2 linked regions of the Neurospora crassa OR74A genome follow. The protein of the gene in region 1 interacts with the protein of each later gene in a biochemical or structural test. Links are inferred from orthologs where the notes say so. Each region holds a gene or a part of one and is shown on either strand. Other genes may lie near its edges.

Region 1 (16,149 bases):
TCTTCTTTCATTGCTTGGAATAGGTGTAGGTACTGTACCAACCAAGTTGCCCATCACCTTCCATTTAGAGATGCAGTATGCCATATAAAGTGAATGGCGGATTACAACCCTCCTCAACCGGGACGATCAAAGGATATCGGGAATTGAATAGTAGTTTGAAATGTGTCTCTCGTCTGTAAAGCCGTGTGGATGTAAAATATACCTCTGCGATGCTTGCCTGGTAGTCTGCGATGAAAGCAACACAGTGATGTACGTGTAAGTGGTAAGTGGAAGCCGTAACCGGAGCCTTAATTGGAAGTCACCGACTAAGCATAGACATGAGGTAGCTGAGCAAACACCTACGTTGTGACCACTACCACCACAGGCGCGACCAAACATCACTGCCGTTGGTGGTGGTAGTGGGGGCGTGACGCCAACGCCTAGGGAGGGGGGAGGGGCACATGCGAGCCAATATCCATCGGCAGATGTCATATCCAATCGTTGACTGCGACAGTTTGCGAAGGTTGGCAAGGTCCTATCAAGATACGGGAGCCGGATGCATGCTTTCGACCACCGTGTTCCCGGATATGTCCTGTACAAAGACGTAAGCGGTTTCGGTGGCCCAAAGGCAGTTGTGGAAAGACACGGCAACTGGTCGTGTTGAAAGTCCGGTAATAAGGGATCGTCTTGGCGGCGGTGAACCCGGGGCGCTCGGCAGACTCCATTCTGAACGTCCCTCATGATCTGCTTCCCACGTCCCACACACTTGCCTTTTCAGTGTAGCCTCTCGGGAACAGCAACTGTTCCGTGTAGTGTATAAATCGGGACAGTGGGGTTTGATCGGGAAGCAACCATTCCATATTGATGTCTGTTCTGTACGCCGACGAAGATTCCAGTCCTGACTATATAAATCTATTAGCAAAGGCACCCTCAGTATCTTGAAGGGGGAAATTTCCATCAGGAAAATCCAACGAGAGTTTCAGAAGGTCCAACTTGAGGTAACTTTTCACCAACAACTTGGCTAAACAATGGACCTCAAACTTACAACTCACGACGCTTCCGATCCGCCCTCGTAAACAACAATGAATGATACCCTGTCGCCACGTTCTCGGGATTCGGGAAGGGTTTCCATGCGCCTTGCGAGCAGCCTCCATGCTCTCAAAGTGGCCTGCTATCTTTCCCTTGGTGCGCTTGTAAGCTGCAGCTGAGGAGGAGGAGGAGGCGGCGAAAGGAAGCTTGGTGGATGGCCCCTGTCAGAAGGACTCAGGTGGCCTTTCGGCAGATGTGAATCTACCCTTTGTGTTTCCGGATCTGCAAACAGCGATTCTTGGCTGGGATGATAGACGTTCGGCAATGGTGATTGTGGAAAACGATTGCTTCGAACAAGCAAAAGTAAATGTAGACCAGGCTTTAAGCAGGAGGAAAAAGCATAATCCTCTGAAGAACGTGTTCTCCTCCCCGCATGGATATGTAGATACAGCAAGTACTTTGGAGCAAGCTCGGCCAAGGTGTTAACAGAACGTAGCCAAGGTGTGTTCTTGCGCTATCAGATCCTGTCCAATCCCCGCACTTACTGCGCCTTTACTGATAAGCGACTAACTCGAGACCCCCTTCCCATTCAATTCAAAACTGTGAAATAGATCTAGAGGACAGTCCCTTCTCAAGCAAGATCATGGACTGGAATTATCCGGAAACAACTATGGTGCATGGAAACCATGATTCAGAATCTAGCTTTGGCTGGATTATCACACAGTTACTGGGGCATCCCAGGAATTATGTTCATAAACCCCATGGGGTGCTATGGAACATTCTTCCCCTCTCCCCATCGCTCAACATACAGACAAGGGTTCGACACAGATTCTCGATCAAGTAATCTATTTATGACAACAACTGTATACGCGTCAGAATAAACCACAAAAACAGACACGCAAACTTCCTGCCCATCAATCCAGCGTACATTATCTTCCTATATTGTACTTAATCGTAATACCTTACATGTACTAACCGATGGATGCTTTGTCATGCAAAATCATAAACTCGTTCTCACGACTCCCTTCCCTTGCAAAGGAAGGAGAGAATACCCAAATGCATAACGACATAAAAAAGAAAGGGAAATTGCAAACAAGTCCAGAGAAGCCTGGAACAATTCTACCAATAACACCGCGCAAAGTCCTCTGCTGTTGCTTCCCTGAGTAGTACACCTTCCATATTAATATCCAACCTTCCAATCTCCATCATTGAAACGCCACATACCATATCTCCTTTCAGATATATCAAATACCCCATCTTTGAGCAATAGCTGTCATGATCCTTACCCCAAAAGGGCTCAACGTGGGCAGGCCCCTTCGAAGCAGTTCCCTTACCCAAAGCATCTCTTGACGTGGTGACAGGCCCATCTATTCCCTCTCGTACAACACCCCTAGGAGTTCTGGCAAGGCCAGTCTAGAATCCCTCGTCCTCCGATTCCGAATCAGCATCCGGCACCAAAGCCCTATACCGTCGGCTCGCCAAATCCTCTTCCAACCCTCCATCGCTCTCAGAATCAACATACCCCTCGCCTCCGACCAGCGATAGCGCCACAGGCAAGAAGACCAACGCGTGTGTGGCGGCAAAAATGACCAAAGCGACCCAGATACGGAAGTAGTAAATCTCAAAGATCTTGCTACGGGTAAAACCGAGCACAAAGACACCGAGCAGCTTGGTGACCGTGATGCCCGAGAAGACGGAGCCACCGACGTTGCTGAGAGCAGTCCACGCGCGCGCGTCGCGGCCACGGAAGCGGTTCTTGGCGCGCTCCATGCATGAGCGAGACGGGAACATGAAGGCACGGGCAATGTGGGCGCAGAACTCGACGGCAATACCGACACAGATGATGAGGTTGACGAGCGAGACGGCGTTGAGGGAGACGCCCATGACGGCCATGGCGCCGATAATGTCGACGATGGCCATGACGACGGTGAAGCTGACTACTGCTGCTGTGACCAGGGAGCCGAGCAGGACGGAGGCGACGATGAAGATGATGCCGATGGCGGAGCCAAGGAGGGCGCCGGTGAGCGAGACGATGCTGGCGTACTGATCGAAGAAGACGTAGAAGACGCTGTAGGGGAAGACGTCTAGTCCTGTTTCGGCGCTGATCTCATTGGCGATACGGCGGGCAGCGGCGTAAGCGTCGATAAAGTCCTCTTGGCTGCGGAGCGGGATGTGGCTTGTACGGAAGTGACTGGCCGGAATGGTGTCCCTGTCCGAGTCAACCAAAACAGCAGAGCCATACGAAGCCTGTCCGCCCAAGGGACAATCTTCATTTGTTGGCGCACTGAGGAACTTCTTCAAGTAGTAGACAAACTCGTCACCTTCTGGCATGCCAGAAAGAGTAATGTTCCATGCCGGCGTCCGGTTCGCAAAGCAGGGTCTCCGCCGCTCCATGCAGCACCTCTCGTTCTCGGGGTTGAGCCACTGGAAGAAGTCATCAATCCAGCTGGCAGTGGGCGTCGAGATATAAGAGACCTCAGTCCGCTTCCTCTCCTGTTCCAAGATGTTCGAAAGCGACATCTGCTCACAAGTGGTATAGCGGGCACAGACTTTCTGCTGTTGCGCCCGATCAGTAGCGTTAAACTCCCTGGTGACAAAATAGACCGGCGGACCAGTGTTGAGGTACTCGTAAAGATCGTTGAAATAAGGTATCAAGTACGAATCGTCTGGAATGGCAACGCGCTGGTCCAGACCCAGCTTGACCTCGGGAATCAGAGCAACACCAGCCGCGAACACGCCCAAGAAGATCATGACAATGACAGCCTTGGTCTTTTTGCCCAACAGGCGAGGAGCGTAAACCTTGCGAATGAACTGTTGGAGATAACTTTCCTCGGGAGCCTCAAGATAGACCGGGGCCGGACCTGCACCGTTGCTGGCGAGATGGACTCTAGCAGATTTGATTTGGATGCAAGGGAAGCAGTCCGCTCGAGAATCCTCAACGCGGATCTGGTTCAGCGTCAGCACGGAAACAAACATGGTCACTTGAAGAATGGCGTTGATGAAGACAGCTCCAGCCGCATAGATGGCGAAGTTCCTCACCGCCGGCATGCCGACAAAGGCACCGAGCGCAAAAGATGCCGTCTCGGTCAAGGCCGAGAAGAGGATCGAGGGGCCCATCCGTCCTAAAGCCCTAGAAATCCGTGCCTCAACCATGTCGTCAGGGTAGCTAACATTCACACGCTCAAACTCGTGAACAATCAGGAAGATGTTGTCCACACCAACAGCGAGAACGATGAACGGAATCACATCGACAATGATCAAGGTAGCCCGCAGGCCAGCCCAAGAGAAGAGACCAATCGAGGCAGTGATCGACATGAGAACAATGACGATGCCCACGATACCGAGTGTGAACTTGGACTCAACCAGCGAGACAGCCGGGTTGCGAATCAAGTCCTTGAAGGTCAGAGTAGTAGAACCAAGAGCGAGCGAAGCATACAAGAACATGATGATGTAGCTGATGACAATGATCTTGGCATCGGTGTTGGTGGACTTGTTGAGTTCTTCCTCAAGACTGATTTCGGTAGAGAAGGAAAGGCGGAGACCGCGCTCTTTGGCCTCATCTTGCACTTCCAACAGTCGATTCTTGAGTGCCACTTCCCAGTCCATCGCACGGTCAACTTCGGGAGAGTTTTCAGAAGGATTGATCAACACCCAGGTAACAGTCATAGCTGAAGCTTCCGCAACGTTGCCGCCCTCTGGGTATCCGCCAAGGATCATGCTAGGGTCAAGAGGCTGTCCATATGCAGGGCGACACTCCACCGGGGACGCGGCGCAAGTCCGCAACGTGCTCTGCCAAGTCTCTGGGTCAACAGAGTCGGGATCGTCTTGGAAGTAAGCAGCAACTGACTGAACAACGCAAGCATCACCAGTGGGCTTGAGGCACAGGTCCTGGAAACTGCTTCCATAATTGGAACCCTTGAGCGCCGCAACGCTCTTCTCGACATCCATCCACCAGAGAAGAGTATCACGGCTCAGGACGGGTCCAGGACCGGAGGGTTGGGTGTCGTTCACAAGGAAGACCTTCTCAGCGCGGTAGAAGGCGCCGAAATGGGAGTCGAAGAAGGCTTTCTCCTCGGCCGCTGGTGAAGTTGGGCTCACCCACAAACGGGCCGGGTTCTTTTCAAGCTCAAAATGGAACCAGCCAAGACTGAGGATACTAGCGATCAGAATGCTGGTGACAATGGTAATGGCCGGGAACGTGGCCGCGACATATCCCAACTTGCTGAAAGCAGAATCACACCATGTGTTGATGATGTATGTCTTTTGGGGGCGGTCAATCATGGCCACGTTCTGGGTCAAGTCTCCCTCATCCTCGTCGTCGCTCGGGGCAGCATCAGTGAGAAGACGGAGTCTTTCACTCCTGCGCTTAGCATGTCTCTTCCAGGCAACGTGGCCAACTACGGCAGCAATGGAGATAAACAAGATGACGCTGTAAGTCAAGATGGAAGCAAATGACAGGCACGGTAGTGCGCCGACATGGCATGACCCAGCCTGTTCGACGTCCGGGAGCGTGGGGCAGATCTCGGGGCAGTCGACGCAGGCACAACGGAAGTTGGGGTCCTCGTCGTTGCATTTCTTGGGCTTCATGGGCAACGGCTTCATGTCGGGCTCAGCGTATTCGACAGGGAAGTTGATCTGGAAAGGCGAGCCACCGAAGCGTTCCTGGCCAAGGAACTTGAGCAATTGGGTGTAGTTCTTGGCGCCTCCGCCTATCAAGTCCATGGCCCTCGAGTTTGTAGGGCCGAACTTGACGTCCTTGCAGCTGTTGTAGAAGCCGGTTCCATACTCTTCAGAAATCAACTGGTCCAGCTCGGTCACTAGTTCCTTGCCCTTCTTTTCAATTGTCTTGGTGACATTGACGAACAGCGACTGGTTGGGGGAACATGTAAAGGTGCAAAACATGTTGAAGAAGTTGTCCTTGCACGCCGGGCAAGACGATATTATCTGGTTCACTGTCGATAGAGAGGACTTGAGCGAGTCAACCTGCAGTAAGGGTCAATATCAGCATCTTGCTTGGTTAACCCGACGAGCCGAAAGAGGGATTACCTGTTCAGGCAGGCAGCACACCGGCCCTGTACTCCATTTTGGGCCACAGAGATCAACTAGTTGTTGACGGAGATAGTCGTCGGGTTCCTCGGCCAAGCCATTGTCAACACAGGGCAACTGGCTTCCAAAGAGACCCTTGGATCCGCAGTGGCCTCTGATAGCACATCGTCCAGCTTCGTGCTTTGGCGTATATATCTCGGCTGTGACACTTCCCAGACCTGATAGTAGGAGCCCGCCGCTGGCCGCGACAAACGTGGATAGCTTTATCATGGTCGAGAATCTATCAAGGGCAGGACGTCGTCGCTATTATTGACGTTGCCGGTGCCGCTCGGCGGCTTGGATGCGATGGGGAGTTCCCGCTCAATGTTGGTCCGGCCAACGCTCTTCCCGGGAGATTGATGCAGGACCTATGTATCAGGTTGCATATGGTATGATACCAATAGTCGTCGTCAGATCAGCGATGGAGGTATGGTAAGGTCCTCGGAGTCACTTCGTTGTGATGGTGGCTTCGAGTTGTTCGACTTCAACTTGTTGTTGACTGTCGATGTCTCGGTGGATAGAGAGAGGACCTAGGTGATCGGGTCGGGTCCAGCGATAGTGGATTAGGTGTAGTGGACCAGAATCCCAGACGGCGATGATGGCCCGATGGTAGAACCTCCCGTCTGTTTTCCGATTATTGATAATGGGAGTTGGAGATGCGAAACTGAACTGGAACTGGAAATGGAAACTGGCACTTGCCCTGCCCCAGGCATGAAACGGATGACCTGGAAGCTCCCGATCTGGCCCTGGGGCTTCCCTTCAGTTGATGGGTGCCTGCCAGCGCTGTGGTCGTGTTTGGCTAGCTGAAGTGTATGCATGCGTCATCAACCGAAGGCAGCTAAGACGCTCTGCCGTGTCTGATTGGCTGTTTTCGGACTGGGGCAAAAGGTGGGAGGAGAACTCCGTCGAGGAAGGTACCTAACGACTGCAGTGGTAGGGGCCGCCAGCCCAGGCCACGACGCTCACGCAGTCCCTCAAGTCCCTGAGAATCGATCACGCGGGACAAGTCCACAGCTGTGAATCCCTGCCAAGACCTGGCTAGCAGCTGGATACGGCAGGCGGTCAAGTATTTACTACTATGAAGGGTTCTTGTCGAACCGTCTTCCGACTTGTCCTTGGCCACCGTCACCAACGACGACGTACAAGCTATCGATGTACACTAGCTAGTTGGTTATCTCTACAGAAACTTGTATGACAAGAGCAACTCAAAACTTGATATGTGCTTCAAAGCATACATCCGATATCAACTCTACTTGATCATCATCAATACATCCTAGCGAAAATACAACCACATGCCAAAGCAGTAAATAACCAAAACAATACACGTTCCAGCTCAGCTGTTCCAAAAACCACGCCCATGAACTGTTCAATACTGCTATCTTGCAAACAGGCATATGACCCAAAATGGCCCAGCGACAACATATGCAAATAATCCCCTCTCTCTTCATCCCCATGGCAAAACCAATCAGACCCTCCCGGTGACGTAAAACTGGCCTGTCAACGTCTCGACCTTCCAACCGTCGTTCTTCAAGGCAAGTCCCACAGCTTGTCGAAGACGCGAGACGCCACCCGAACTATGACGACCGACACCCGTAACCACCGTGAATCCCTCCATCTTGGCCTTGGACTTGCGGTGCTCACCCAGACTGTTCCACCACCGCCAGACTCGCTCCTTGGCAATGCGGACTCCGTCAAGAACGGTGACGCCGTGTAGATCGATACTGCAGTATGTGCTTCTCTCGTTGACTAGTTGTTCGGATGCCAGCGATATCCTTTCGGCAGCGGCACGGGCTTCTTCCCGGGCGCGTTCCGTGTAAACGATGGCGCCTTGTCGTCCCAAGGGTCCCTTGCGAGCAAGAGCCGAAGCCTGCGCGTAGAGGTTGGAGACTCCGTACTCACTGTCTGGGCTTGGTACAAGGGTAGACGCCCTTTCAAAGGTGGTGACAACCTGTGAACTTGCCATGCCACCGCGCCGTGTTGACGATGAGGGTCGGATGGGTCCCTTAGCCCCCTCCAACTCCTCGTTGTCCACTGTTGGCAATACCACTGCGTAGTTCAGCGCCAGTTTTGCCTTTCCTTTGCTGCTTTGGTCCTTGGACTTGTTCTTGCCTCTGCGGGTTGCGGTGCTTCCCTGTGGCTTGTGGAAGCCATCCAGTCCCTTGGGCAGCTGGCCCGTTTCGTGGAGGTGTTGCCGAGTCAGAAGATCGTCAAAGGCCCTGTCCAGGTCGCCTCCGCTTTGTTTAAGCACAAACTTGAGGGTGTGCTCCTTGAAGTTGGGAAACACCAGACGAAGTCGCTCGACCTTATCCAGCTCGTTCAGGTCTGATGAGTCGCAAAATCTGAGGTCCTCGGACGACGAGGAGGACTCGAAGGAGAAGATGGAGTCGGATATCGTTGTGGCATTTTCCGTAGCCAAAGACTCGGACATGATGCTGTGATCGACTTCATCACCGTTTGCCCCCTCGACAGAAATGCCCATTCCGGAGGGGTCAAACGACGTCGAGGCCTCACACGAAGCAGTCTGCGCCAGTGTGTTGAGAATGTCCTTGATGTCGTCATAGTCCGTTTGGATGTTTCGCTCCAGGGTAATAGCAAGAATGAGTGACTGATCCAGATCTCGAAACTCTTCCTGCAGTTGAATAATCCACGGTTAAACAATTGATTATTTGCAAGAATGATTTTGGGGCATGTTGATATAATAAGTGCTGTGCGTTCCAATCCGGCTTGAACCTACAAAGAGTTGTTCTAGAAGGGAGTCAACAGACTCCAACCGAGCCTTTCCCTCATATGAGGGAGAGCCTGATGGCTTCACATGGCTTTTCGTTTTCCTTCCCCCCATCCCAGGTGAAAAGGCCTATGGTTGTCGCTTAAAGGATGTGCGTGATCGAATACCGCTGGTTTCGCGCTATGGCATGAACATGAGGTGGATAAAAAAGACGAGACGGCTGGAATTCACTGTTCATCGTATGTAAGATAGGCCCAGTGTCGAGGTGAGAATTGTGTTGACTGGAGGTGCCCAAATTCAACCTGAGGATGAGCCAATGTCAAAATTGGCCAAAGAAACCTCGTAGCGTTTGCTTTTCTGTTTGCGCTTTCCCGACTTTCGCCCTGGGCCGCTTTCCTGTGAATCGGTGGGAGCGGGGGTCGCCAGGGTGTCACCAAGCAACTGGCCCCGATAGGTAGCCAGGGGAACCTTTCAGTCTGCGAGTGCAGGGTACACAGGTCGAGTTACGATTGCGTTAGCCAGTAGTGGAAGAGCAGGCTTACTTTTTATCTTGCATTAACAGCTTTGAGACCCCGCATGACTACGGCGGGGTCATCATCCGCTTTCCGTCTCCAGGTTGTGATGCTGAAGAGCTGAACAGGGGCCCATCGCGGGTTCTGACGTCGTCAACAATAGTTAGGTTGATCCCCCAGCATGGATTCGATTCATGCTATCTGACCTGAGACGAGAGAATCAGCATTTGCAGACTTACGTACTATCAAGCAGCACAGTCATTTCTTAAATCCGCTGGGTCATGGTTCATCCCATCGTTGACAGCAGGCTCATCAGTTTACAACGACGACGGGGTCTTCATCTTCTTGGGCACCTCAAGCACGCTGGTGGCCTAACCATCGACCGACCAACCATGTCCATGGGCCGATCTGCCATTGTAGCGAGAACTTGAAGGTGGCTATGCTGTAGCCCCTTCTAGTGTATCAGTCTCAAATAGTGGACAATAGTGTCCGAATTCTCCAGTGTCGTTGACAGCGAGATGAGCCTCAACTGCTTGACATTTCACGAAGCAATGGAATAAGCCGTGTGGATGGGCGGGTCGGCTCGCTTTTGAATAATGCATGCATCACGACTCAGCTGCCATATGTCAGTCAGTGATAGTGCAAAACAGCAACAACAGATACCGGTACCTACCATACACTACATATAAACTTTGGATGACACGATCCACGGCTGTCGTTCGGACGTCTCGGGGACCCGAGAGTCAGGAACATAAAGGCCGACGAAGAGTCCGAGCGGAAGGGCACACCTCCACTAGCTTCCATTCAATCGGACTTTGACCGCTTCCGGTCGTCGTCATTCCACAGCGTCCATCTTCATAAGGCGCCATCGCAACAGCGCTTGCATTGCGAATGGCGATGGTCGCACCAATGATAGACCCTAGACATGTCATATGCCTGAGTCAACATGGGGATTGATCCTCGAAGTGCCTGATGCTAGATATCAAAAGGCAGCGGATGACAGATGTCAGACTGCCGTAGAAGCCTCAGGATGAAACATGCAGGGACGGTGAAAGATCAGGCTACCGGCGAGATTGCATACACACACACGCACACGCACACAAGTTCACAGCGTCCGTCGCGCTTTGTCTCTTTTCAAACACCAACCGTGACTCGCGGTGTCTCTTGACCAAGTTGACTTGTCGCTGAACCTTACTCACCCACACCCTACGTGTCCTTCGTTCTTTCTCCTGTGGTGCCAGTCACCAGTCACAACGAGTCGCCACGCCGTTCGCTATCAGCATCAGACTGAACTGAACCGAAAGATCCAGGAGAGACATCCACTCGCTCTTACCCAAACGTTTCCATACATCGACGACAGGAAACAGAAGGCTCAAGTTCTTGTTGCCCGAAATTGGTAAATTGGGGAAACGGACACGGAACGGGCCTTATCCCATCATAACCGATCACGCATTCACGCCAGCACGTGAAGAAGCCAGCATATCTCTGTGTGCATACGCATCATTCTCTGCTGCAGTTTTCCTTGCCTTGCAGCGTCAAGCACTCATCGACCTGAACTTTTCACCAATTACATGGTCCTTGCATCATGTCACAAAAAACGGGTTCGGTGTCACAGTCCAAAAGACTGTTGAACTACCCAGACCCTTTGAGAGGGTAAGCTCAGCTTTCAATACTGCGGCCGTCGCTATGATCGTCGCTGAAAATCCGAACAGGCGTGCTGACTGGTATTCACAGTCCGGATGTTCCATATGTTGTGGAGAGAAAGTCCAACCCGCCCATTCGCGGCTGGATCATTTGCGCCGCTGCCTTCATGTGAGTTCTTCCTTTCAAGAGAGAGTCGCTCTATGTACATGCTGAGCTAACACCGATCATGCAGTCTGGAATATGTTCGCTTTATCAGGGAGATGATATGGCGCAACGCCGGCTTCGGCGACCTACGCAAGATTCGCCCCTATATTGAGGACTATGAGCCATGGTTTGAGCCTCAGATCGTACCCTTTCCAGATTTTGAGACTACCGATGAAGTTAAGGATGACCTTGCGGATGACGAAATCCCGGAAACTGAGGCGGCCAAGCGAGACGACCTCCGCCACAGATATCCCCAGGCAAATTATTACTCAGTGGAGGACTATCGGAAACTCTACCTCTCAGGCGCACTCACACCCTTAGACGTTGCCCAAGCTCTGCTGCCCCTGATCCGCCGCGACGTCGAGAACCCTACCGAGTACTCTTCAGCATGGTTCGACAGCAAGGTTGACAAAGTTTTGGCTGCGGCAACGGCCTCGACGCAGCGGTACAAGGAAGGACGCTCTCTTGGTCCCTTGGATGGTGTTCCCACTGGTGTCAAGGACGAGTACGACATTGACGGCTACGAAACCAACCTTGGCTCGAAAAACATCTACACGGGAACCATTCACGAGGAAGATTCCATCACGACCTGGTGTGTGCGCAAGCTGCAAGAATCCGGCGCCATCATCCTCGGCAAGCTCTCCATGCACGAGTTCGGTCTCGACACCACCGGCAACAACCCGGTTCACGGTACTCCCAGAAACCCTCACAACCCCAACTACTATACAGGCGGCAGCTCCTCTGGCACCGGCTATGCCGTCAGTGCCGGTCTCATCCCTATCGGTCTTGGCAGCGACGGCGGCGGCAGCATTCGCATCCCCTCCAGTCTCTGCGGCGTGTTTGGTATCAAGCCCACCCACGGCCGTCTCTCTTTCAAGCCCGGCCAAAACCACTGCCTGACCTGCGCCTGTCTCGGACCTATCGCCGCGGACATCAAGTCCCTCGCCACCGTCTTTCAAGTAATCTGCAAGCCTCACCCGTCCTCTCCTTTCCCTCCTTTGAAGCGCCTCAGCTTGACCGGCCCTCCCAATGGTGGTGACCACCCCAAAGTCCTCGGTATCCCCTCCGCCTGGTTCGCTCGCGCCACGCCCGCCATCCAAACCCTCTGCAACACCATGATCCGGCGCCTCTGCTCCGACCACGGCTACACGGCCGTGGAAATCGACATTCCCTTCCTTCCCGAGGGCCAAATTGCGCACGCCATCACCGTCCTCACCGACGCCGCCACCCTCCTCCCGGAAACCGGCAACCTGACCTACGGCAACCGCATCCTCATTGCCCTTGGGACCGTCACGCCCGCCTCTGATTACATGCTAGCCATGAAGCTGCGCCGCGTGCTGATGCAGCACCTCTCCTGGCTGTGGCAGCAATACCCGGGAATGTTAATTGTCACCCCCACAACCAGCTGCGAGGGCTTGCCGATCAAGAGCAAGAGCGAGCTGAAGTGGGGCGTGAATGATGGGGATAGAACGCTGCAGAGCATGGAGTATGTTTGGCTGGCAAATTTCTGTGGACTGCCCAGCATCTCCGTGCCCGCTGGGTTTGTCAGTCCAGAGTCGGGGTTGGTGAACGATATGGACGTGCAAGGGAGAGGGGAGGTGCCCGTAGGATTGATGGCTATGGGAGAGTGGTGCGCAGAGGAGCAGCTGTTGCAGTTTGGAGCCGTGTGTGAGGAGGCGGGTGCTGATAGGAGGAGACGGCCGCCGATTTGGGTGGATGTGGTGAAGAAGGCCAAGGAGGAGGTTGCACAGCGGGGGTAGGTAGAGGGAGGAGATGGGGGTTGAGGTTCATATTGGGGTGATGTCTGTTTTGGAGAGCAGGGTTTGGCTAGGGGGTTAGAGAGAGACTGTGGAATGTCGTGTAGTATCAGATACATTCACCAATAGCGGCATTACATAACGAAACAAGCAAGATGTTGACGTCTTGCATTCATTATCGGTCAGTGCAGTTTCATTCATGCCGCCCATGTTGACAAAGGCACATGTACCATTGCTGGGATGAATCTCAAGCTCGGTAATTACACGAGGTACGTTACTGCGACAGTACAGTACTTACTACCGCAAGCCTCTTCTTCAACAGACGGAAGTGAGATACTTACCTACCTTACCTTTTACTTACAGCTTCATCCAGCATAGAGGTACTGTAGCAACCGGTTCGGATGAACACCAGTGGGCGATTCGCGAGGGGGAAGTGGCACCCCAAACACAGGGCAAGAAAATCAAAATAGGAAGGCAGGCATGACCGAATTCGCAGGCCACCTGGACCCATCACCACTTCCTGTTGTCTATTGGGGGCAGTCCCGACCGTCTATACCTCTACACCTCCGGATGAACCTTCCTCTTTCACATCCACTGTCCCTCCTCTGTCCCGCCCAATTTGCCAAACTCTGCATTCATGACCGAATCGGTAAAGTCTCCCTCCCATATTCGTCCCTCGAATTCCTGCTCAAGTTCCGACGTTCGTGTCTTTGTGTGTTTCCACGGGTATTCCATCTAGACACGTTTTCGAGAAGCCTATAATAACCACTGTAACAACAATTTCGTTGTCTCTCCAGACTGCAGCACACACGGCAAACACAGCACACCGAATGTGTCACGAGTCGTATCTGTATAGTTCATGTCGTCGCACCTCGGGAAATTATCGAGCTGTGTGACATGCCGACTATCTGCCTTTCTACCAGATAAGAGTTTACCTAGGTTCCGGGCCAGGAGTGCTTGACTTCCTCTGTCTTATGCTGACAAGCCACCAACCTTTTAGAAACAGAACAATGACTACTGCAACATCGCCCAACGCTCTAGTATCTTCCGTAGTGTTGCACTAAAGACGGGTGGGCGGGAGCACGCTGACACGGGACGCACGTGTCTCGTCTGAGATTCGTGTCTCGGGGTCAACCGAACCTGCAGCGAGAAAACAGTAACCGGACGAGGCTTGAATAATTTGCCTACCTAACCGTTTTCCGCCGTCAAGAGTGCCTGGTTGCCGACGACCGAGATGCGCTGCAAAATACCTCTACTATACTGAGTTACCGAAACTGAGGTTCGTGCTACCTCGAGGCAGTAAGAATACCTACCTGTACGGTACCCAGAGGAGGCTGCAACATGTAGGCATGGTGTGTATGGTGAGTTGAAATAGCAAGTAAACACGCTAAAATCTGCATTGGGGAGATTAATCATCGCCTTGGCAATGGGGTGGCCTGTACCAGTCCTGACCCCACAACTGACCACCCCCCTCAACTGGCCACATCCACAGCCATAACCAGTAGTCAGATAACATTGAAAATTGGCCATTTTTGCAGCGATTTCAAGCATTTGAGATATTTATTAACTAATCCTAATACTCATAAATAGTCTAGAGTATTGACTCAACAACTCTCTCAATAGGTTGTAGTAATAACAACATCGTTGTTGCCGTAGCAACCCGCTGGCGCTTAGGGGCTTACTTTAAAGCTTTATAAGCTTCTATAATACTCTCTATACGAATAAATTTATTGTAAGAGGAGCAGTCGGTCGGATGGCAGTCGGGACGACTGTCAGACCGGCAGGCAGGCCCGACAGGGCATTCAACTGCCTGCACAGCATTGAGGTATAAAACCCAAGGCTGCGAACCTCTACGTAGCAGTTAGCTTCTTCTCGAGACAAGAGAATCAGATCATTTTGCAGATCATTGCATCCATCGTGTCGTTCGTCTTACATTTATCGTTACCCCCTTCTTTAACCTTCCTTTTACCCCTAGGCTTTTATAACTCCAACCGAATTTATAAATACTAAAGTTAGTAATCCTTGGCAGCGAGCTCAGCGTTCTTATTATTAAGTGCCTTAGCTACTTTAGTATAAATCGTTCTAATATTACGATCGATAATAGCTAACTTACTATAAATACTTCCCAATATATCCCTAGACTTCTAGGGAGTTTTAAAAATAAGATTAGCCTCGGATATTTCATCTCTGGGTGGCGTTTTGGGTAGTAATAGCTGGGCTAGTAAAGTATTATTATCCAGTATAGTATTTAGGTCGTTAAAGATAATGGATCTATTTATTAGCTATATACTAGTCTTTTTAAACCCTAATCTAAAGTTTCTAGTACTTACCCCCCTTCGTAAGGCTTCCTAGTAATAATAAAGGAACCGTTGTTTATTAATTGGTATAAATGCTAGAAAGGAAGTATAGTCTTTAATAAAGTCCTTAAAATACGATTTAACGGTAGTAAATACGGATCGATCGAATAGCTAGGTCTTATAAGATGTATAAGGAGGTAAAAAGAATAATTAAACGTTATATTAAAATACTTCAATAATAAAATTATTAAATAAATAATTTGAATACTTATTAAGTATTAAAAAACGCTAATTATTATTAATTAGTTTCGTTTCTAATAAATAAACTTCCTTCAATTACCGTAGAGTAATCCTTAAATTACTCTATCCAATTAATATACTATCGAACTTCTAGCTCTTAAGCTTATCGTCTATATTATTAGGAAATTATTGCCCTTGAAGGTTGAAACCAAAAAAGATAATAACGGGAGTTAACCGCTTACTAATAGCAGTCCTATATTCAATTATTAATACCCAAGCTATTGTATCGGTCGTTATTAAATATACTTTCTTTATTAGAGTAATTCCAAGTACTTTGCTATCCTTTAATTCTAATTCTTAAAGACTATACTCATCTATATTCGAAATATTAGTAGGAATAATACCCTTATTGCGAATCTAGGCTTCTAGAAGGTCGAAGAACTTCGTAAAGGCTTTTTAAGTAAACCCTCTAATTTTCGCTAACTTAAGTAGTTTAGAAAGTTTAGTCCTAATATTGGGGTTGCGCTTTAGGAATCGATTAATCCAACGGGCGTCCAGTTTATTGTAATTATAATCGCGTTTAAATATAGATATAGCGAAGTTAGTAACTTGATGGCGGTTGGGAGTACGGCTAGCCTTCTCCTTATTTAATATCTACTTATAGATAAAGGCTTCTT
Region 2 (15,260 bases), on another chromosome or scaffold:
TCCACAGTTGTTCTTCTTTTTTAGCTACGTATATATTCATGGCGCATATACATTACCCGGATGGGTTTCTTCTTTTCATCTGTATAATTCCTTGCAATACATGTTTTAGTGGGAAGTGATCGTCAAGTAGGAAAAAACACATGGACATGGGTGGACATCATATGTGATCGAGAGTTCGGTAAGCTAACGATGAAAAACCCATGTGTGCTTCTAATTATGCCCCAGAGAAAGAAGAACGCCATATTATATGCCCTTCTCAAGTACGTGTTGACATAATACATCGCCGCCTTTCTTTCGATAATACACGAACTCGCTTCTTTCTTTTAGAGATATGGAATCAAAAAAAAAAAAAAAACCCGGCCCTTTCCCCTAAAAACGCCGTTCGCAAAGAACTCCAAATGTTGATGATACATCGTCAAAGGCAGAGAAGAAAGAACAGCTTAATCCCCCCTTTTATTACATTTCTCATCCTCTTTTCAATCTCCTAAAACTCCCGTCTAAACCCTTCTCGTAGGAAACCTTTCCTGCGCCCACCTATTCGCCCGCGCATTATTCAACGTCGCCGGCGAATGCTGCATATACGCACTACTATCCCCATCCCCGTCCCTGCTCGCCGCCGATGACTTCCTGGGCGACCCACCGGCAGCAGCAGGATAAATCTCGCTCTTCAACGGACTCGGCTTCACGGGGCTGTGCTGCCTGATCAGCCTATCCGCCAAGTCTCTCTGCTCCAGCGCCGCCATCTCGCGGCCGTTGCGGGGCGAAGGCGGCGCGTCAGTGCCTACGCTGGCTGTTCGCTTGAGTGGGGAGTTCATGTGCTGATACACGCCGAGGCTGCCGCCGCCGCCGCCGCCTGCTGCTTTACGTGGTGGGTAGGAGGTGGTGCCGGCGTGGGCGACCTGTCTCTTGCTAGGTGTTGGGCGGGCGGTCATCGAGATGGTCGAGGGGGTGTTGCCGTAGCTGTTTTGGCGGAGGAGGGCCGTCGGGGTACGAGTAGTAGTGGTGGTGCTTGAAGAGGTTACTGATCCGAAACTGGGACGGCCGGTGGTGATGGGTGTGTAGGGTCGCGCCGCGGGAGTCGAAGCGTCGGTTTGTGTTAGCTCTCTGCTTTGCTTGAGGACACCGTCGGGGTCGAAGTGTTTGGCGTAGTTTGGGTTCGGATGCGTTTCGAAGCCGCGGCGGATGATGGTCGAAGGGGTGCCGATAGCTACCGATTCTTCTTCCAAAACGTCGTCGACAATCGAGACCTGGGTCGCTACCTCGCGGTAAATAGGGTACACCCGCGGGTGCACGTACTTGATGTCGTATTCGTGCATGACTTCGCGGTGGATGATGTTCATGTCCTTGGATTGCTGGGTGAAGCGGGAGGTCAGGAGGAGCATCTGAGCTGTGAGGAGGAGCTGGAGGAAAAGAGCTTTGAAGACGGTCACGCTCGGGCGCGGGTCGAGGGCGGCCAAGGGGAGGAAGAGCATGTAGATGAGGACATGGCCGGGGCTGAAAAGGCAGAAAATGCGCAGTGTTGCCGGGTACGGATCCCAAACGGCCACCTCCCAGACGTCGCGTGTCTTGTCAGGATGAGCGCGCGCCTCGGCCGATTCGCCCTTTGCAATGTTTTGGATATATCGAAGGGGCGTTGGGGTGGACGGCGAAGAATCGACTCGGACACGATGCGCGGAAGGGGTTGAAGGGCCTTGAGCCTCGACGTTCGCTTCGAAAAGTCGGTAGTGGCGCGATCGGGTCATGGTGTAGAAGGCATTAAGACCAGAGATGGGGATCAGGGTCCAGATGAGGAAGTTAATCTGTCGCATGCAGTCAGAACATCGTTCACTATGCCGTACAGGTCTGTCCTAAAAGTAGTGAAGCCTAACTCACCAATGCCTTTGTAAAGCCGCTGGAGGGAGCATCCGAGAACACATCATCGTCGACAAGCTCTCCACTAATGTTTGCGTTCGCTCTCGCAAGTAGGAAGAGGACATTCGCAATCAGACCGAACCAAGTACCGAAAGTGGTCGAGTCCCAATCGAAGCTTTGGATTTCCTCCGAGATCCAGATATAAAAGTCCATAGGGTTGAGGAAGGCCTGTATCCGCTCGGATAGCGGGCGCCGCCGTACCAGGCGACGAGGTGTTGGAGGCATGTTTGGATTGCGATGATGACGATATTGTTTGGTGATGACAGATTGCGACAACGCAGAATCGATGTTTGGGGCCGCCTTCCCACTCGGTGGTGTTTTGGTAGAAGATACGAGAGGATTGTGCGCAATGATGTGACGGTCTTGCGCAGTCCTTAGTTGTGTATCGTGTGGTGAAAGGGCACCGGGTTGTGCCCGGATTGGTTCTAGGTAAGGTTGGTCAAAGAATGAAGATTTCTTTTGTTTACTTTTGCATTTGCGTTGCTCGGGGCGCGGATCGAGAATGGATTGGAAGAGCTCTCCCTAGGTAGGTCATGGAAATTGACCCCGGTCGCAGTCAAGGTTCAACCAGTGGCAGGCGAGGCGCAACCTGAACCGAGAATTTAGTGAGCCCCAGCTGTGTCAGTGGAGTTTTTAGAACCTGGCATTGCTGAAAAGAGGGGTCGAGTGGGTTTAGCGCGGGCTGTTGACCGCGAGTGGAGCCCAGTTGGATCCAGCGGGTGCGGCTAGGTTGGTCAGAGCTCCAGTCCGTCCCGTCATCCTGGAGTACCTGGATGGACGACGACAGCCGACGTCGACATCAATCGATACGACCACAACCGCAACCGCCGGCAGGCTTCGACATTCCCTACCGACGCTAATACAAACACACATTTCAGAAGATTTACTCAAGTTATTGCCAGTCACTCAAGTTTCTATCGTTGCATAGCCCTCGTTCCCCGACCGATACCTGACCCAGCCTATCATGGCAACTTCCCAAGCAGACGCTAGGGACCGTCAGTTCCTGGCTGTAATTGGAGACGAGGTGAGTGTGATTTTGCAACTAGGTCTACATCTGTCAAGGAGCTAACAATTATCTAGGACTCCGTCACGGGACTCCTCCTTGCAGGCATTGGCGTAGGTTCCCGTATGGTCCTCGGATGATATGCGGTAGCGGAGTTCTAATACGCACTCGAATCGTAGCACGTTACGGCTCCCCCAGATTCGCAAAAGAACTTTCTTGTGGTGGACAACAAGACGGATAACGCTGCTATCGAGGCGGCCTTTGACCGCTTCACAACCGAGAGGAAGGACATTGGCATTGTTTTGATTAACCAACATGTAAGTGCGGGTCTTGGTTCAAAGGGGGGGCTTGTGGGGAGATATTTCTTATTGACAATTCTGGATAAAATGGGCAACTGACGTGGAAGACACAGATCGCTGATAGGATACGACACCGAGTCGACACTCATACCGCGGCCTTCCCTACCGTTCTCGAGATCCCGAGCAAAGACCACCCTTACGACCCTGAGAAGGACAGTGTTCTCCGCAGAGTCCGTCGTCTGTTTGGTGAATAAACGTGTTTGGCCAGTTTAGCATGGACATAACAAACGGGGAATGATACGCCACGATGGAAGGAATGGAAGCAGTCAGGTTCATGGGGGCATAGCGGAATCAATGTGCCCACGACATCACAGCGGCGGCGCGCAATGCGGGGAACTCAGAATACCTATAAAGAAGCAGAACGACGGGAATGTTTCCTCAGATATGTTCACGCCTAAGCATGCTTAAAGGCAGAAACAGTCTCAAAAACCAACTACTAAACGCGAAAAACTCCAGTACTACCAAAGCAAAACCCATACAAATGCTGTTGCCGTGCAAGTGCCATCATCCGATTCGGTGCCAAGAATGAGTTCATTAATCCATCATGCGCAGTATTCATCCAAGGTCTAGATTAAACATGCCATATCCGTTGTTAATCGTCAAATCCGCTCGCTCTTCACCCAGATCAGAGATCGTCAAGGAAGCCAAGAGTCTTGCGACCAAAGAAGACGGTGGCGGTCAAGCAGGTGATGTGCTTATCGTCGCTGTTGTAGACATCGGCCTCAACAGTGTACTTGCCCTGTAACCATCAAACCGTCCATGTCAGCGAATATTCCCATCAACGACAGCAGTATTGAGAGAGGGGGAAATTGGGCAATAAAGAACGTACAGGTGGGATCTCCTTGGGCAGCTCAACGTTCTTGGTAATCGAGAGTCTGCCCTTCTTGATGGGGCATTCGAGCTCCACGTTCTTCATCTCCTTGCACAGGTCGGCAGAGGTGTTGATCAGGCGGATGTAGCCATACTTGACTTGCAAGTTGACGTATGCCCCTTCCTCGATGGCCTCCTTGACGATACCAGACGCCTCGATTGTCAGGGTCTGACCGCTGTATGTGACAAACCCATTAGCTTTCTGTTTCTGAACATGGTAAGATAAGAGACATGTGACATACGCCTCAGGAGGGTTTGGTGTCAATATGACCTCCTCGATGGTAACAATGTCATCTTTGCGATCGGCCGCAGCGTCACAAAACCTCAAGGGCGACTTTCCGGGAACATCGAGTTCATCGTTGGCAGAGACGCTGTTTTCGCGATAAACGCTAAAAGCGGCGGCGCTCGTGGAAAGGAGAGCGATGACAGCTGCGGAAAGCCTCATGGTGAGTGATGGTAGCGATTTGTCACGGTCGGTGTTCGGTGCCGAGATGTGTTATGGAGACCCTGGAGAGGATGGGATGTGGTTGAGAAAGCGGGGAATATAAACGCTGTCCACCGCCGAGACAGTTACCGACAGTTCGTTGTGTTGAGTTGCGGGATGTCGGCCACAGGGATCTCACGAGTCAAATCGGAATGGCAGTTGTTTACAAAGATGGATGTCGTCGTAGATGGAGACTCCAAATGATACCTCTGATACCAGGAACGAAACAAGCCACAGCAACTGGAAGCGGAGGCAGTCAACTGATGGCGAGCGAGATAATGGGCTGGCGTGACTGGCTGGGTGAGGTTGATCCTGGCTACGCAACCAACCTGCATCAGTAGAGATGGACCTCCACAGGAGCCAGGTCACTGGTTGGCCCAGTCGATAAACACACGCAAACACTCCCGCTTTGGCACTCTGCGCAGGCCTCTCTCACAACGGAACAAGCGAGAGACGTCATTGGGGCATGACGGCGAATGGCGGGTTCGATTTGCCCCAGCCTGCAGCCATTTCCCCAACTTTCTTTTGTCTTGTTTACCTAGTCTTATCATGTGAGTCGGAGCGGATCCACTTATATGTGAGCTGGACCAATCACGACTATTGAGCTACTGCGGCGGCGCCGTTTCCTGAAGCATCGAGTTCTTGGTTCCCAGCTGCTGTCGAAGGATCTTTCGACTTTCATCGCTGGGGTAGGGAGTGACGAAATGTCATATCGGTTGCCCATTCTCAGGTTACGTATACTACACTCAGCGCACTGAACGACACATAACGCTGCATTTTTTTAATTGAATTACATCCTTTCTGCCTTCGCGGCATGGCATATGGGCGTGCTTTTTGAAACCCTTCAGTTTAGGGGTCGCTTATACTCGGAACCCTGGTCGTCAATTGTGCCATTTCGAACATGGCGTTTTTACCAAACATCGAGATCAGAGAACAAACCGACGGACTGTCCGAAATCGCATACGTGGTGCTTGGAACTCAAACATGGGTTTCCTAGACTAAGTTGCGGGAGCGTTGGGAAGTTTGGTTGTCCCTGCGTGACAACTTCGGCTATGGGGGCCGTTTTGCTGCGATAGTCCTGCCGAAGCTGCCATCATTGATGCGCCTTTGTGGAAGAAGTTCATGTCGCCCAAGAGATACAGTTTACAACAATGGTTGGAGTCTTGGAGCAGCGGCCATGTTGTCGCGCAAACTGGAAAGCAGATAGGCAGCGTATCTCTCTGGCCTCGGGCAGATGTCAGACGCACTGATTCAGGCTGGGTCAGGGATTATTGATATGTGTTTCCGGGCGTATCACTGAAACGGGAATGATCGGGACGACGAGTTTCGCTCAGTCGTTCGGCGGCTTGCAGTCGTCTTGATCGGTTTCGGGGTTGTTGGACGAGGTAATTATGCGATATGTCAAACAAGTTGTTGGACAGCAATCAAAGCCAGATGTGCCTTTTCACACAGGAGGTGTAAGACAGAAGAGAAAAGAAAAGAGGAAGTAAAGCCCAAAGGGCAAGCAAGTGAGTCGTGACGGACGGGCGTATTAAATGGAGAAAGGGAAATAAAAAGGAGCAGATTGCATAGTTTCATGTGAATGGCTGCGCCTGGTTGAAGGGTCCCACCGTCCAACGTGATGAGAAAGACATGACAACATTGATTGGAGCGAGTAGCAACTGCAGCAACGCCGAAGCATTGCAGCCACACCTTTGTCACGCTCGAAACCCACTTTGTACGAATAAGCACTAGTGTCAACACTGCTCACGGCTTCGATGATTCGCTCAAATCGACGCTCACCAGCCAGCCAACCAGCCGTTTCCCAACACTCAACAGTGCGACCGAAGTGACCTTGTCCGAGGTTGAGCATGGGCGCGCGTAGGTAGTGTAGATCGGAGCTGGTTTCCAGCAGAAGACGGATCGTCGAACGACACACAAAGCGCCATGGTAAAGGGCATAGCTTATCAATCGTGGACATTGAAGAGGACGGGATTCAAAGGCAGTGCTTATCGACATCGTCTTGGGTTCAATCGCTGTGACATTGGCTGTTTGTTGGACGGTGGTTGCGGTTGGATGACACCCATCTCGAATCTCCGACGCTCACCACTCATCTTCGTCCTAGGCCGAACAATAACTGAGGCGCAGATGCACGCCCCTAAAAACAGGAGTTCAAAGTCCTGGGGCTTTGAACGCAATCTTTCCAAGAAGCAGACATTCCAAAAGGCATCGTCCTCATGTTGAGACGCATCCGTCGCGCTTGAACGGATTGTCACCGGCATCAAGAATGCAAAATATAACACGATATTCGACCCGAGATACCATGCAAGGCATGTACACTATAGAGAGAGTACTGACATCCAAACCCGCCTTCTTGTCATTGTCGCTGCTGTCAATATAGCCGTGGGCTTTTCCCGTTTCCGGAACACAACCCCGTTTCTGCTGCCCGCTGTGGTTATCATCCAGTGAGCCCAGGTACCTGACCTCCTAACCACCTACTACCACCACGGTAGATTGACTTCCGCGACGCGGCTCCTAGAGTTGTCCACGCTCCGAGGTGCTGCATCACGTCTGGATACCCCATCTCCACGGGTAGGCCTCCATAATCCACGATAGGTGGCCATTGCGCACATGGCCTTAATGAACCGCCGTACAAGTCCGTTCTGCCTTCGGCCCTCGCGGCGCGCCTTTTCGTTGATGGAACCCTCACCTTGCACAGTCGCACGCACCCCGCCCTGGCCTCTTTCCAGTTCGCTCTCAGTCCCTTCCCTTCGTGGTTTCCTTTCAGGCCCCCTCCTCCTTGTCCCTCTAAAGACCCCTCCACACTGGCTGGCTGCTCGATCGACATTTCGGCATGCAAACATTTCAAAGCTGCATGCTTTTACTTCATACCATGTCGCATATCAGTCACAGTACTGACGTTTCTTACCATTTCCATTTCCTACTCTTCTCCGCTGCCGTGAGCTTAGTGGCTCGGGCCGGACTCTTCGGTTGCGTTCTTTTTCTTCGTTGATATCATATGGCGGCTGATGCCGTGGGGACCTTTTTTTTTTTTTTTTTTCGATCCGACAAAACAGCCAAGCGTCGCCTACAAAACAGCTGCTTCCTTGGTTGATGGCCCCCGCCCACAGTGGCTGCTGCGAGCTACCAAGGCAGTCTAGAAACACATCGGGCAGAGTAGAAAGTGGTTGCGCTAACAATTTCCCAAGACCCGCCGGGTACCGTAGGGCGAAAAAGACACGCAGCAGACGTGCGAAACAGCTGAGCGAAACACAAGCTGGAGAGCAGAACCAGGAATCCAAGGAAACAAGACCGCCGGCAGCACGTCCACAGTCCACTTGCAGCTTTTATGTCGCCCGCACCGAGGACGCTCACTGCACACAACCTAACAAGGCCCAAGGACAACCCAAGAACTGGACAGGTTCCGATTTGGGGGAAGGCCTGTGCCACGGAGATTTCCACGGCTGCCGAGGGCTGTTTCGTCTGATTGGCCCGTGCTCCTGCTGAGCACTGCAGCGTCCCTCCAGTCTTGCCCGTCCTGGGGGGGTGCCCGTGGTTAGGTACTCTTGCCCGACCTAGGTACTGCCCGCCTCTGCCCTTTGCACAAGAGAGAGCGTGAGAGGGCCACGCATTGGCAGTGGCTGAGGTCAGTGGTGAGTTCCCCCGGTCCCGGTCGCCGTCCCGGGCAATTCCCATTCCCATTTCCACTGCCACCAAAACGAAAGGTGCGCAACCAGAGAACTTGAAGCACCTCAGCTGCAGTGCTGCGACCGACTGCGACAGGCGAGACTGCGAGTGCAGCCCGCCCGCCTTCCTTCCCGTCTTCTTCCTTTCTGAGATGACCTGCCCCCAAAGCCAGACACTGCCAGAGCGAGGGGCCCCAGAGAGGGCCGCCCGCGCGGGCACGGCAGTGGACAGAGCGATTGCAACCAGCACGCCAGCGCCAGTCCAGCCAGAGTCAGACCTGAGTGAGAGTGCAGGCAGGACTTGAGAGGGCAGAGGGCAGAGTTCCCAGAGTGCGAGTGGGCCCCCCTCTCTCCCTCGCACTTCCACTTTGCACTCGATTTCCCATTCCTCCCGTCCCCTTCCACTTGAATTCTCTGGTCTCTTTCTTGGATCTCTTGCCCCCCCTTCGTTTCCGACACCTGCCTACCTATTCATCTTTCACAACAGTCTTGACCAAGTCCGAACCGACTTTCCATTTTCGCGCACATACGACTCTGCCCCGGCCGACTTTACCTTTCTTCAGTTCGTTTCGTTCCTCGCGGCGCAATCTGTTCCCTTCTCGACAAATCCATCTCGTCGTCGTCGTCATTCACCACTGCGTTTCTCCTCGCTTTTGGGCTTGACGCTCGCCACTCCTCCTGCGCAGAAGAACACGATCCAGATCCCGAGAGCGACCTCGACCTGACGCCCGGCTTATTCCTTTTCTGGAGACTTGGTCTTTCAATCTAGGCCTCGACAGTGATTGACGCCGCCTGGGCTCTCTCCTCAAATTCTCGAATTCGACCTTCATCATCAGTTCCGACGTGTTCTTCCGCCCGACCGAGCGTTCCGCTGCCGACTTGTAACCCTGGCTAGTCCATACGACAAACGGGCAATATAATCCAAGGCTGTCTCCCAACGGATGAAAGCCCCGGCTTTTTCGTCAAGTTGTGCTCGTCTCTCTGGTCAGAATCAATTGCGTTGGACAGCGCGCCAGCATGCCCTTCGACCTAGAAAGATAACCAGTCAACAACACCCTCCCGATATCCTACCGAAACCGCCGTCCCGAGGTCTTTCCATAGATTATGACCGACAAGCTGCCGTCACTGCTGACGCCAATCGCGCCTCCTAGTCGGACTTCATTCTCCGTCTCTGCTGCCGTTCCTGTCCAAGATGGTATACGAGCGCAGGAGAATGTTGAGGAAGAGCCGTACACCATTAGGTGTATCTGCAAATACCCCGACGATGACGGAAACACGATCTACTGCGAGCTATGCGATACGTGGCAGCACATCGAATGCTACTACCCCAACAACTCTGAGGATGCTCTCCGCGATCCAGACTTTGCACACTTCTGTGTTGAGTGCCAGCCAAGGCCCTTGGATCGGGAACGAGCCAAAGAAAACCAGAGGCGCAAGCTTACAACGGGTGTCACTGAAGGAATGGCAGACAAGAAGAGCAAGCGTCCTATCTCAAAGAGCCACAAGAAGAAGCCGAAACCGAGCGACCTGCCATTGACTGGTCAGCACTCGAAAGCCGAAAAGCAAGCCAGCATCCAGGACAGCCATCCTCCAACAAAGAAATCGAAAAGCTCGCACAAATCTAGTCATTCGGTTAGCTCACAGGCTGCGAAACGCAGTCCACAATTCGGCAGCACCAAGTCCAACCATGCTCATCCTCCTAGTCCTGCGGCGACGCCACCTGACCTGCCTGCCGACTTTGAGATACATACCTATGCCCCTGCGTTGCTATCCGGCTCCAGTGACCGAGGTGTTGAGATTGTGCATACCAACAGTTTTGCTAGCCTCCAGGTGTCAAACGCCATCTCGGCTTGGCTACGAGACCACAACAAACTCCAGAAAGAGACGGGCTGGGCCTACGCTGACATTTTTCAGCCTCTACCCCCAAATATTGATCAGCTAAAAAGGCCAGTGGATATTGAACTTTCCCGGAAGACACTCGGTCAAGGCACCGTCGCGTCTTGGAAGTGCCTCAAAGCGCCATCGGCTATTGCTCATAACGTCCCTCTTGTGGAACTGAATGGGCAGATCGGGATTCAGAGCAGTTATTGCGCAGATCCCGATAGCCGGTGGCAAGAGCTGACGTCCCCGCTTCCTTATGTCTTCTTCCACCCCATGCTTCCCATTTATATCGACACCAGGAAAGAAGGATCCCAGGCTCGCTATATCCGACGAAGCTGCAAGCCTAATGCCATGCTCGAAACATATCTTTCAGACGGCTATGAGCTTCACTTTTGGCTTGTAACCGACAGGCAGGTCGCAGCTAGGGAAGAAATCACACTGCCCTGGGACTTCCGATTCCCCAATGAGAATAAGTCACGGATGCTCCGGGTTCTGGGGCTCAGTGACGAAGACACTTCAGCCCACGCCGAGTCTTCTGTTGACGATGGGGAATATCAGGCACTTACGAGCTGGCTGCACAACATCCTTTCCGAATATGGAGGCTGTGCGTGCAACCTTGGATCAGAATGTGCATTTGCCCGCTTCCATCGGAATCATTTGGGCAAATCACAGGCGCCAGCAAACCCACCCAAGACCAAGAAGCGAAAAAGCAAAACACAAAGTTCGTCCACCATCGGCACAGGGCCAGCAACGGACAGTCGAGCAGCTAGTGAAGGCCACCTTGAGGATGCTCCCGAGAATGATCGCCGATCAGTGTCTGGCTCAGCACGGAGCAAGCCTCCAAGCCGAGACCTCACCCCCACGGCCCGCCAGGGATCATTCGACACTCTTGGGATATTGACAGAGCCGACCGATCGGGACAAGCGGAAAGTCTCCATGATCGAAGAGACCTTCCGCCGGATCGAGTTACAGCAACAACCTACCAAGAAGCGGAAAGCACGCGGCTCTGATGCAGCTACTACCTCCAAGAAAGGTAGCAAGAGCAGCGCTACAACCCAGACGACAAATGCGACGAATGGACCCGACGAACGCCACTGCCACTTTGCCAATGGTGAAACAGCAATCACCAGCAAAGCAACATCACCAGCAGCAAGTGCGAAATCTGGTCGGGTCACCAAATCGAAGAAAACCAGTTCGAGGAAAGGATCTGTTGCCGTCGTTTCCCATCCTGTTCCTGCGCAGCCAGTCCGTTTGCCGTCTCGCCCCAAGTATGCCGATGCTGGTACTCAAACGAACCCCGACACCGAGGCCAACCCTGCACCCTCGCCGGCACGACCGAAAAGGAGGTTGGTTTCGGTGACGATGCGCATCATGCAGCATCATCGCTGGCTGAAAGAGCAGCAGGGCAAGCAACGACTGCTCAATCAGGCGGTTGCTACTGTCCCAATGGATGTGGATAGTCCAAAAGACAACAAGGCTGTGGTTTCAGTTGCTGGTTCGGTTCAGGATACAACTTTGAAACCCAGTGCACCAAGCAAGGTCACCACAAGTGATGTCGAGATGCCCGACGCGCCCACCGTATCAGCGAGTCATCTGAAGGCTGCCCAAAGTACTTCTGTCGTTACTGCGCCAAAGAGCAAAGTCTTGGATCTGAGGGTTCCCATGCCACCTGTTCCGCCCTTTCCAAGTTCAACCTCTTTGGCCTTGACCTCTACCACTTCTTTACCTGCAGGGACTTCGGCGGCTCAGTCATCATTTTCCGTTACTGGTCTGCCAAGTCCCCTGGGGCCGTCGTCTATCAATGGTCTGACTGCAAACCCAAGCCCAATAAAGAAAAAGTTGAGCTTGAGTGATTACACCAAAAGCAGGATGAACAAAGCTGCGGCAGCTCGCCCATCGGTTAGTGTGCCCTCTCTGAAGCCCAATGCTGCTTTGGACGAGCCAAAGTTGACCACCAGTGACGACAATGGTGGAGCTGCTTCTGGCTCCCCAACCACGGAAAAGGTGACTGATACGACTGGCTCGACCACAGCCGCTTTGGCCTTGACAACTGCAAGCAGCTCTGTGTAACAAGTATATAGACTAAGGTCTTCCCGTGTATGGATTAATGGTGGAGGATGTTCTCAAGTATTTCTGTTAGCGGCTTCTTACTCGGTGTCACTCTTGAGACCTGAGTCATAGAACCCCGACATTCGAGCGAAGCAGCCAGGTCGCTGTTAGGTCCGGGCCGATTGCGATATAAAGTTTTATGGTACTTTTACGTTTTTTTCACAAAATGGGTTTGGCGGCTGGTGATATAATTAACGTGGCGTTTGGGATATTTCTTTCCTGGTCCGGGAAACTGAGTTTTGTGGGACGGCTTCATATCAAGCCTTGGAGCCCCGTACTGGTCGGGAGTTTTTGTGAAACCGGGTTGGGTTGGGTTCACAGTGGTTGGTCTTCCATGATATGGGATGGCTGCCTGGTTTTCGGAGGGGGTTATTTATTTTGTCTGTTATGCTTGCGAGGAAAGACAGGAAGAGAAAGATGAAATGATCAAAATGGGAAAAGCACAACACCATCACATCACTGGATTTCTTGGTCAAAGTCATTGGATGGGTATGTCAAAGGACATGTCTCAACCCCTTTTTCCCTTGCCCAATCTTGAACTTCGTTCTTACTTTTTTATCTTCTTGTCCTCTCTTTCAATCTCTCACTTCTTTTTATGATGACCAATGGATGGATGGACGGATGGATGGATGGATCACGGCTTTTTTTTCTATCTACGCTACTACGCTACTCAAGCAATAGTGATAACGCTTTGCCAAGGCAGTTGAGGCACTCATTGAATCTTTGAAATGTTTCAAGTAGTTTACGATACATTTGCTGTATTTTCTTGATTTCGTTGGTCAGAACCTCAGGCATGTGTCTTGATCCTCCTTTGTTGGCATGGAGAAAACTAGTCATTTTGTCCTCGAAATATCTTCTGCTCTGTTGCCATTTAGTCAAGAGGGCTGGGGAAAGGAATACTACGAACTTTCTGTACATGACATTCAGTCACGGTATCCCCGAGCCACCTATATATACACCACAAGCCAGCCAGCCAGCCACCCAGCAGTACATGTATAAATATCCTGTTTGCTCGATGAAATGTTGTTGCTAGCTGTTACGTTTTACTCGCCTAAAATACATACATAGTTATTCATGTAGCTTCACAATTCCTACCGTGAATCCCACGTGTATACAAAAAAAAAAATACAAAGTGTCTACTATATAACTTACAAATTCAGTATTCGTATTATGCCGGACCAAATCTCGGATACCAAGTAAGATTGATAACACACACTTTGCCGGTTCCAGTCTCAAGACTAAAGATGCTCAGGATGTGTACGTATGTGGTCTTCTATATGCCTCGGGGCACAGGCACAACATACCATGATACTATAGTGTAGTGCGTCAATCACACCCCTTTTTTTTTTCTCCTTTTTTTTTCTGCTAACATAGCGGGGAGTCTGGAGGAGTTTTCTTTGTTATTTCTCGGTGGCTTGAAGAGGGGCTAGCTAACCCGTGGGTATATATATTGTACTGGTATGTCCGACTCTACACTCGGCACCCGAATGTATGTGGGTAGATATGACGCCGTATTTACTTGCTGAAGTTCAGCTAAAAGAGAAAAAGAAGAGAAGAAGAAAAAAAAAGAAAAAAAAAAAAAAAAAAAAAAAAAAAAAAAAAGGCTTATCCCTCTTCGAGCGCCCGACAGAAAGCAGGAAAAAGAAGCAACATGCTTCTTTACATTTGAATATGTCCGCTCATTTAGTGAAAACCTTTTAATGATGCACGATACTTCCTTCCCCCCCCCCCCCCCTTCCCTCCCCCCTCTTTGCGTCTTAAGGCACAGAGGCTCGGACTTGGGCGTTACAGAACTGCTAGCGTCCTGTCTGATATCCAGGTTTTTCAGGCATTACCTCTTTTCTGTTTTTTTTTTATGGCCATTTTACTCAGTCACCAAGCGGAGATATCAGGTTTAGGTACGGACGTACATGGACCAAAAGAGAATGAATGGGTGTATAGATGGATGTGTAAATACAATGTTCGAAAGACTCAGGAGTGCTTGCTGCTATTCTATTTCTGGTCCTTAATCCTGAAGTAATCAGAGATATGAACCATCGTGAGCTCAAAATCGAGAATTGATTCTTCGAGGGTTTCGGGTTCCATTCCCGTCTCCTTCCTAGTGAGATTGAGGGACAAGTGAAATAAGTCCTCAACCGCTCCAACCATAGTCGGACTTGATGTATGGTAATAACCTTGTAAAAAAGAACGGCAAATGAGTCTTGGCAGCACAAAAAGAACTTATTCGGGAAGAAGGAAATGGAGTCTATCATCATCCAGATAATTTCGAATATATAATCATGTTCAGTAAAGACAAGAAAACTGGATCGTCCTAAATGTGTGCCAATGAGAATTCGAAAATGATACCACCGAAGAGCGCTTTCGGTACATACGTCCAAACGACCTACTGACAACACTCAAACAAACCTGCACTACCAATAAATGACCAGACCCAAAAACAAAAAACATGCGGACTATGCAACCATACCAACGGAGGTTCCAAGCCTTTTCTTTCTAGCTTGCTAGATACAGATGCACACGCAGGTACTTACTAAACTAACTTCCGCTTGCACAAAGCACACTACCCCACGTAGAGCAAACAGCTCATACACACAGGACGCAGTGTCTTATCACCTTAGACATACATACAGTTCCAGACTCGTAAGCTGTTGTTATATATCACTCAGAATGTTCCTCCACCGGTCCATAGTTGTTGTCCCTCAATTCCTCCTTTTGTATGCTCCGATTGACCTCATAACCACAATGTACCTCAAGCTTCATGATATAATCGGACAAATACCCCTATACTTAGCTTTCGTTACCTCGTACTTCTAATCCTTGAGAGGAGATTCTCACTCAGTTAACCACACTTAACAAGCCACCCAACAAACATCAACACACCAACACATTCGACCAAACGTATTCGGGGGGTTTATCGGGGGTATCACTGTTCTAAACACAACATTTCACGTCGCCTATCTCCTAGCCTCCCTTACTGA

What was found.
Region 2: the proteins of NCU04090 (region 1) and NCU04388 form a complex in vitro, tested with the Saccharomyces cerevisiae proteins (2 studies listed by BioGRID). The link is inferred for Neurospora crassa OR74A from reciprocal best matches to the Saccharomyces cerevisiae genes NCR1 and NPC2.

Annotation. Positions count from the first base shown.
Region 1 is NC_026506.1:2,710,287-2,726,435, forward strand, and holds NCU04090 (niemann-Pick C1 protein), read right to left. Parts: upstream 6,814-16,149; 5' UTR 6,325-6,813; coding exon 6,055-6,324; intron 5,992-6,054; coding exon 2,422-5,991; 3' UTR 1,823-2,421; downstream 1-1,822. Other genes in the region: NCU04091 (hypothetical protein), read right to left, coding at 7,559-8,722, 8,828-8,932; NCU04092 (N-acylethanolamine amidohydrolase), read left to right, coding at 10,916-10,983, 11,065-11,142, 11,207-12,938. UniProt on the Saccharomyces cerevisiae protein: Involved in sphingolipid trafficking. May recycle sphingolipids between cellular membranous compartments.
Region 2 is NC_026504.1:3,523,029-3,538,288, reverse strand, and holds NCU04388 (phosphatidylglycerol/phosphatidylinositol transfer protein), read right to left. Parts: upstream 5,028-15,260; 5' UTR 4,589-5,027; coding exon 4,386-4,588; intron 4,320-4,385; coding exon 4,103-4,319; intron 4,013-4,102; coding exon 3,899-4,012; 3' UTR 3,505-3,898; downstream 1-3,504. Other genes in the region: NCU04386 (hypothetical protein), read right to left, coding at 498-1,799, 1,873-2,136; vma-7 (vacuolar membrane ATPase 7), read left to right, coding at 2,876-2,935, 2,992-3,027, 3,094-3,231, 3,327-3,467; SET-4, read left to right, coding at 9,397-12,243; col-22 (fungal specific transcription factor, variant 2), read right to left, coding at 15,254-15,260.